Regions from separate parts of the Mus musculus genome. Here region 2 is reported to be linked to region 1. Evidence: microRNA targets listed by miRTarBase, many of them from high-throughput screens and not tested one by one. Region 1 holds a microRNA gene; the other region holds the end of a gene's coding sequence.

Region 1 (3,407 bases):
CATCTCTCACAGAAATGAAGACTCATTCCCCTCCCAGAAGTCTCAGCAAACATCTCCCTGTGGGCTAAGGTCTCATCTAGGAATCAATAATGTCTGGTCAACTGGTTCCTTTGACACTGTGTTGTGGAGGAGGGAGGAGGGAGCAGGAGCCAACCAACCCAAACCCATTCTCATTAAGAAAGGTCAGAGGACCATTCAAGAAGGGAGATAAACTCACACAACCCAGGCTCACTACATAGACTACTTTCCTAGACTAACATGGCTTCCCTGAAGTCAGTAAGTAGTTGAACCCCCGAAGTCTTCAACGTAGAATAGGATGCTGAAAAAGAAGTGCACCGCGAATGTTTCGTCACATATAAAGCGAAAAACACGCGGGCAACTTCTCATTAAGCACCGTACGTCAGCAGCATGGAACCCTGTGTACCACTTGTGTACCGCTGTCGTCACTTCCTGTGGCTTGAGTACCGCTGTCGTCACTTCCTGTGCGTGAGCAGGCGATCACGCTGCAGCCCCGCTGTACCTAGGGGGCTCTCACAGCTGTGCCCGCTCCACGCAGGCAGAATCAGGATCTTGTAGACAGGCTTTGGATTGGTCATCCTTTGGGGAGGTCTTTGGAGTCTCCTCAAACATCAGAGAATGATATAATAATCCTGACTTTGCTTCCCAAAGTCCAGCTCTGGATCCGTGACAAGAGAGGAGGTGGGTCCCGTGACCTCTCAGTCGAGGTCACCACCCATCTGCTAGAGGGGAGGACATCAACCTATGTTCCACGGTGGAGGCCCTGATGCAAGGAGGTTATCATGAAATGGGAAACAAAAAGATATCTGAGCCTTTGTCAGAACGAGACAATGTCTCCTGGACAAAAATATATGTAAGTGGCATGTGGTGTTCTGAGAACAGATTCTGTTGACCCTCCACTTGCTGGGAAATGGAACATTGAGATTAAAAAAAAAAAAGAACATGAATAAAGATAGACTTCTTAGGTGTTCCAGGTAGATAGTTGGTTGCCTATGCTTGTACACATGTTCTCTCCCTCATGACATGGCTACAGGGCACCTCCCCACCCTTCATTGGCTTGACCAATGAAACATGAGCAGAATCACAGTAGTTCCTAATCTCAGTCGGAGAGTTCCTACTTACTTTCTATGTCTCTGCCATGGCTGCAAGAACCACTTGCCAGGAGCCTGGAGGAGGGGCAAGGAAGCCACCTTCACCCCCAGGGTAGCAATACATCAGGAGGTCGTCCTAGGTATGGAAGGCATACTCAGCATTAGTAAAGAAGGACACACATGAAAATATAATATATTCTTTCAGACAGAACACCATGACATACCTTTTCCATTGATGAGGACTCTGGTGTCCTTCCCTAAGGAGATGTCATATCTGAAATACATCTCCTAGTCAGGTACTTGTGCTGGGAAGCAGCCAATGATTTGAATCCTCAGAAGACAAGCAAAATTGAACAGACATGGAGATGAGCAAGAACAACGAAGCCTATGCCATAAGTGACAGATGTGGGCTTGATGCTGGGCTAGAGAGACCTGTCACTCACCCACCAGGAGAAATGTGCCCCAGCTTGGGATATAGCTTCACATTCAGGGGATCCTCCAGGATGGCGTTGTTTACTGCAAAGATACAGGATCATAAAATGAAAGTCACGCCCATGGTAGCCCCCCCCCAACACACACACACACACACACACACACACTCTCTCTCTTGAACACATATATGTACACACACAAGCAGAAAAAGGATCCCCCTTAAAAGCTAACTCTGCTTGAAATATTTTAGTTTCACGCTGGCCTCAACCCCACCAACATCTTCTTCATAGCTGCCGTGTGCACCAAGGTGTCTTCCCACAGATGGTCTGGGTGTTGGTGGATAGTAAAACGGGTGACCTACAGCATAAATGAAGTGTACGTCACCGGTCTACCATCCACACAGCTACCCCGAGAACAGTGGGCATCATTGTCCCTTCAGTCACGATGCTGGCACGTCCTTATAGCTACTGTGAGGAGGACCTTGCTGAAAAGCCATCACACACCAAGAGTCACCTCACAGTCCAAAGCCATAGGGAGTAGCCTCAGGCCACCACGGGGACCCTGTCCCTTCTTCAAATGACTTTCCTTCCAGGGCTGAGTCCTGATGCCATACTCCCATGTCCCATGTCCCAGAGTCCAGGGAACAGCAGTCCAGGTCCCTTCCCTGAAGGCGTCATCAGGGACAGGGAGTGCCCCCAGGGTGGGATTTGATACTAAAAAAGAGGTTTCCCGTGTATGTTTCATCATAAATAAAGAGAAGACAACACGGACAACCTCTCCTTCAAGTATCAATTAGCACTGGTCAGAAAGCAAACAAAGGCAGCTGGAAAGTGCCAGGTGCCTTGTCAGAAGTGTCTGCTTCTGTGGGCCCTGGAGAGCAACCAAAACCCCTGTGCAATTTGACAGTCCACAGAATTGCCTGAGACTATTTACCAACAACACAGACCACCTGCATTCCTTATCTCTCCAGGTTTAGGGGGGGTCACTGAAGGGAACCAGGGACCCCAGAAATTGTGCCTCAGGAGATAACAGGGGAATAGTAGCTCTCAACTTCAACAAGTACAGTACATTGGGGGTGTTCAGGAATGAGCCTCGGATTCTGGTTCCAAGAGGTAGGTGGGTGATGAGAAGCGACCCAGCCCTCTGGTTGTGAGTCTGGGTAGTTTCCAGGGAAGGTAAGATTCTAAAAGCAGACACATTATAAAGTTAGTAGGAAGGTAAATGTGTGCCAGCACATGTGGTAGTATAAAGAAGCAGCAGGCAGGGGCAGGCAGTTCCACCCCCTGGTCGAGTGGTTCTCAACCTTCCTAGTGCTGTGACCCTTTAATATACTTCCTCATGTTGGGTAATCCCCAACTGTAAAATTATTTTCAATGTTACTTCATAACTGTGATTTTGCTACTGTTATAAATCATAATGTAGATATCTGATATGAAATGCCTATGAAAAGGGCTCATGATTTGCAGATGAGAATTGTGTTCTACCTGGAACCCCACAGAAAGCTCTACTGCTGACCACAACCCTGGGTGGAGTTAAGGACTAAGAACAGATTTCACATCTTTTGTTTATTTGTTTGTTTGTTTGGTTGGTTGGTTGGTTTGGTTTTTTTCGAGACAGGGTTTCTCTGTATAGCCCTGGCTGTCCTGGAACTCATTCTGTAGACCAAGCTGGCCTCGAACTCAGAAATCCACCTGCCTCTGCCTCCCAAGTGCTGGGATTAAAGGCGTGCGCCACCACTGCCCCGCTCCAGATTTCATATCTTAAAGCTCACTGGGCAAATGTGTGTGCCAATTTCAGGTTTGCTTTCCTACTGCTAGAACACTGCTGATTCCAAGTCTCTTATTACAAGGATGTGGGTGTGTGTGA
Region 2 (3,407 bases), not on the chromosome of region 1:
TAATCTAGGAGTTACTTTGAGGTCCTGAGATGGAGCCTAAAGGAGGCCCGAGCTATGAAAGGCATAGTAGTAAACAGGGTCATCCCCGATTTCCACCCTACCCGCGCCTCTAGTCAGAGATTAGTAGGGTCTAGCCTAATTGGTGAGGTTCCTCTCATTTCCTGGTGTCACAGCAAACATCACCTAGAGTGGCTTTTCTTCTCATCCCAGCACAGTATTCCATTCGAGCTGCTCTTAAATGTCTGAGCACAATTACTTTTCTCAGCTAGGTTTGAGCTAAACAGGAAGGGCTAACCTCGAGTGCTTAAATCAGTGGCTGGCTCACAGAGAGGTCTCAAACACTTTTACCAACAAATTAGGATCTCAGTTAACTAGACTGTTCCCGATTAGTAGGGACACTATCTCCAACCTTCAGCTTCTTCCGGTTGTTCTGCCATAACCAAGCCCAAAGCAGGCTCTTACGCTACGACCCAGTGGCTTCATCTGTCCAGAGAGGGCCTTTCCTCCAGCTCTTTCCTGGGACAGGGTCCTGCGCTCAAACCTAAGGAGACCGTGCTGGCCACAGGGCATGTATCAAGGGGCCAAGGCTGTGCTTCATCCTTCAACTCATCTACGTCACTCTGGTTAGGTGAAGAGCTGAAAGTCCTTACTCTAAAAGTAGCTCATGGCGGGAGGAAAAAAGATGTCCTTGACCATGGACCCGGAAGAATACTGAAGAGACCAAAGGGTCTGTAATCCCTGGGGGTTGCATCGTACATTACCAGTGAATTCCCAATGAAGTGGAGGCCAGGCTCCAGATGCAAGACTAGACCTTACAGTCTTGCAGGAAGAGAACTCTTGGATTCTGAGGAGTAGTGAGTTTTTGCACCTTACAAGGATTTAAGTACCTAGGAGTCCCTCTCCCTCAGACTAGAGTTTCCCAAAGGACCAGTTCAGCATGCTGCCGTCTCCACTTGAAAAATCATCAGACCTGTCATGAAGCCATGGAGCCTGTTAGAAAAGCTAGTGTAAGGGCTGTGAAGAAACAAAGCACTGCAGCGTGTCCTGGTGCATACCTTAATCCCAGCACGTGGGATGAATGGTAGGCAGAATTCCTGAGCTTGAGGCCAGGCTGGCTTACATAAGGAGTTCCAGGACAAGGCCACAAAGAAAGACCCTGAATCAAAAAAGCAAAATAGTAACCACTCAGAAAGGAATTACATCAGCACAAGTGTGTCCAAGAGGAAGGAGGAACACGTCAGGGCTCACAGGAAAGCAGCCAGCAAATGGCTCCTGACATCTTGGGAGTTGTGCCTCTAGCATTCCTAGGGCTCCATGTGGAGGAGGCCTTGAGGGGCCAAGAAGTAAAATGTACAGGCAGGCCTCCTATTCTGATTGTAATCACCCAGGTACTAGACACTCCAGAGTGGCTGACCAGGATGTAACAAGTCCCATATAGGAGCAGGTCTCCGCATGTACCTCCCATCCCTCTGGGCTGGTATCCCATTAGTGAAAATCCATGAAAAGAGGACTGGTCTCTGGAATCTTCCCTGCTTGCTACCACACCCCACCACACACACACCCAGATACAGAGACAAAACTACAACTCTGCTGCAACGTGTTTATTATGTGCCAAAAAAATTACACCACAGCTTACTCCACACATCTGTAGGAGAGTGCAGTCTTGCCTGCATATACAACAATGAGGTAGAGACTTCACACACAGCTTCACAAAACCCACAGAGTAGCTGGGATATGCAACAATGCAACATCAGCTCAGCAGGAGGGAGGGGTTATGACACTGGCTCTTTGGCACACAGCTTCCCTAAGAGAGGCAAGTAATCGTTAAATTAAAAAGAAAAGTCAAGTTTTCAATTCCAGTAGCGTCTTTGTCAACTGTAACTGTTGATTCATACATTCGTCAAATAAAAGTTGTAAGGAAGGGTATTTGCCCCTCTAAGAGAAAGGGCTCCTGTGAGCCTTCACCTGCCCCCACCAAAAAGCAGCCCTTTTTTTTTTTTTTTTAATTTTTAAGCTCAGTTACAAAAGAAAAAGTCCTGTGACTGTGATTAAAAACTTCTATCAACCCTCCCCCAACATAAGTGCAACATAAGGTGCCACAAACCATTTAAAACTATATACAGCAGCTGCTCAGACTTTTCCTCCGGTCCAGTTTTAAATAAAATAATTTTTCTCTTGGTTACAAATGCTTTGATTTGCAACTGTGACCAGCAGTCCCCCAGACACAAATTTGCTATAATGTTAAAAGCTGCCAAGAAAGAAAAAAAAATATATTGTTCCAAACGACTTAAAAACTGTTTTAAGGAGTGTAAAAAGGAACCAGTAAAAACCCTCGAGCGTAAACTATGAAATATGATTTGGTTTAAATGAAGAGCAAAGTCTCCTTTGTTTGTTACAGTAAAAAACACCAGCTGAACACTCAATTGATGCCGTTCAGGTGGGGGTTAAATCAATGGAAAGGCACTGTATGGCAACTGCAGAATGAACGAACCAATGAGACCTGCGCATCACCACCATCAGTATTGCAAGGAATGTAAAAAGCGCTTTAATAAATAAACCCAAGTGTAGGCATCTGTGTCAGACCTTCTGGACACAGTGGTTGTTGTTGTTATTTTCATTTGCAAAATGAGGAACTAGAATCTGGGAAAACTACAATTGCTTGAGGGTGAGCCGAGGGTCCTTGCTCTGGCACACCCCACTGAAAACAAGACCTGACAAAACTCATTGTGCATTAATTAGTGCAGAAACAAAGACAGAGTTAGCAAGTACAAAGGTGACTACGATTCTCCCTTGTCTGCGCAAAGCTAGCTCCCATGGCGCCTGTGCAGCGAGTTGCTGCCTGACTTGACAGCCTTTGGCACCACAGGACACTGGGCAAGGCCAGCTCCTCTAGCTGGAATCTCAGTTCTTCTGGTTCCTCATTAGGGGGCTATGGTGGCGTAGGCCTTCCATGCTGTGTCGCCAGTGCCAGCAGCTTCTGCAAAAGTACTTGAAGCAGACCTAGGTTAGGGGACAGAAAGAGCTGTGTTAACTCTAGATATAAAGGTTCCGCTTTAAGAGGAAATTAAACCCCTGGCTTCTGTGGGGGCTAGAAGAGAGACTTCCTGCTAGCTTTCTCATCCCAACAGAGCTTCTGCAAACAGTTTAGGCTTCTGGTATGACATGTGAGACCTTGTAGCTTCCCAATTTTCTTCCCTTCTCTTCTACACAGCCATTCATTCCGTCTCAAGACTGCCAACATGAGAGAATGCTAAAGAACTGGTTACAGATTCAAGTATTAAGAGAAATGCCTTCCTTTTCTCAGTGAGAAGTGACTGGTTTTGCTAGCTGGGTAACCAACCCCAAGCAAGTCATAACCTCCTAACAAGAATATGACATTGAGGAGTCACTGTGAAAGTTACTAATCC

The links. Region 1 holds the annotated microRNA mmu-miR-679-3p (AGCAAGGUCCUCCUCACAGUAG, at 2,006-2,027, opposite strand). A microRNA usually pairs through its seed, bases 2 to 8, with sites in the 3' UTR of a target mRNA and lowers its output. Matches are read on the target gene's strand: a 7mer-m8 pairs with bases 2 to 8, a 7mer-A1 pairs with bases 2 to 7 and ends in A, and an 8mer does both.
Region 2: the mRNA of Cpeb1 is a reported target of mmu-miR-679-3p. Seed matches in the 3' UTR shown: 7mer-A1 at 2,524-2,530.

What each region holds. Positions count from the first base shown.
Region 1 is chr12:109,714,244-109,717,650 of GRCm38, reverse strand. Mir679 (microRNA 679) reads right to left here and starts at 2,074; the gene lies at 2,001-2,074. Mir494 (microRNA 494) reads right to left here and starts at 2,333; the gene lies at 2,249-2,333. Mir1193 (microRNA 1193) reads right to left here and starts at 1,980; the gene lies at 1,860-1,980. It overlaps Mir666 (microRNA 666), which reads right to left and starts at 566; the gene lies at 468-566. It also overlaps Mir543.
Region 2 is chr7:81,345,440-81,348,846 of GRCm38, forward strand. It overlaps Cpeb1 (cytoplasmic polyadenylation element binding protein 1), which reads right to left. Exons shown (of 12, transcript NM_007755.5): 12 at 1,587-3,000. The coding sequence ends at 2,902. Among named protein-coding and RNA genes, the nearest start is that of Rps17, 1.9 kb to the left of the region's middle.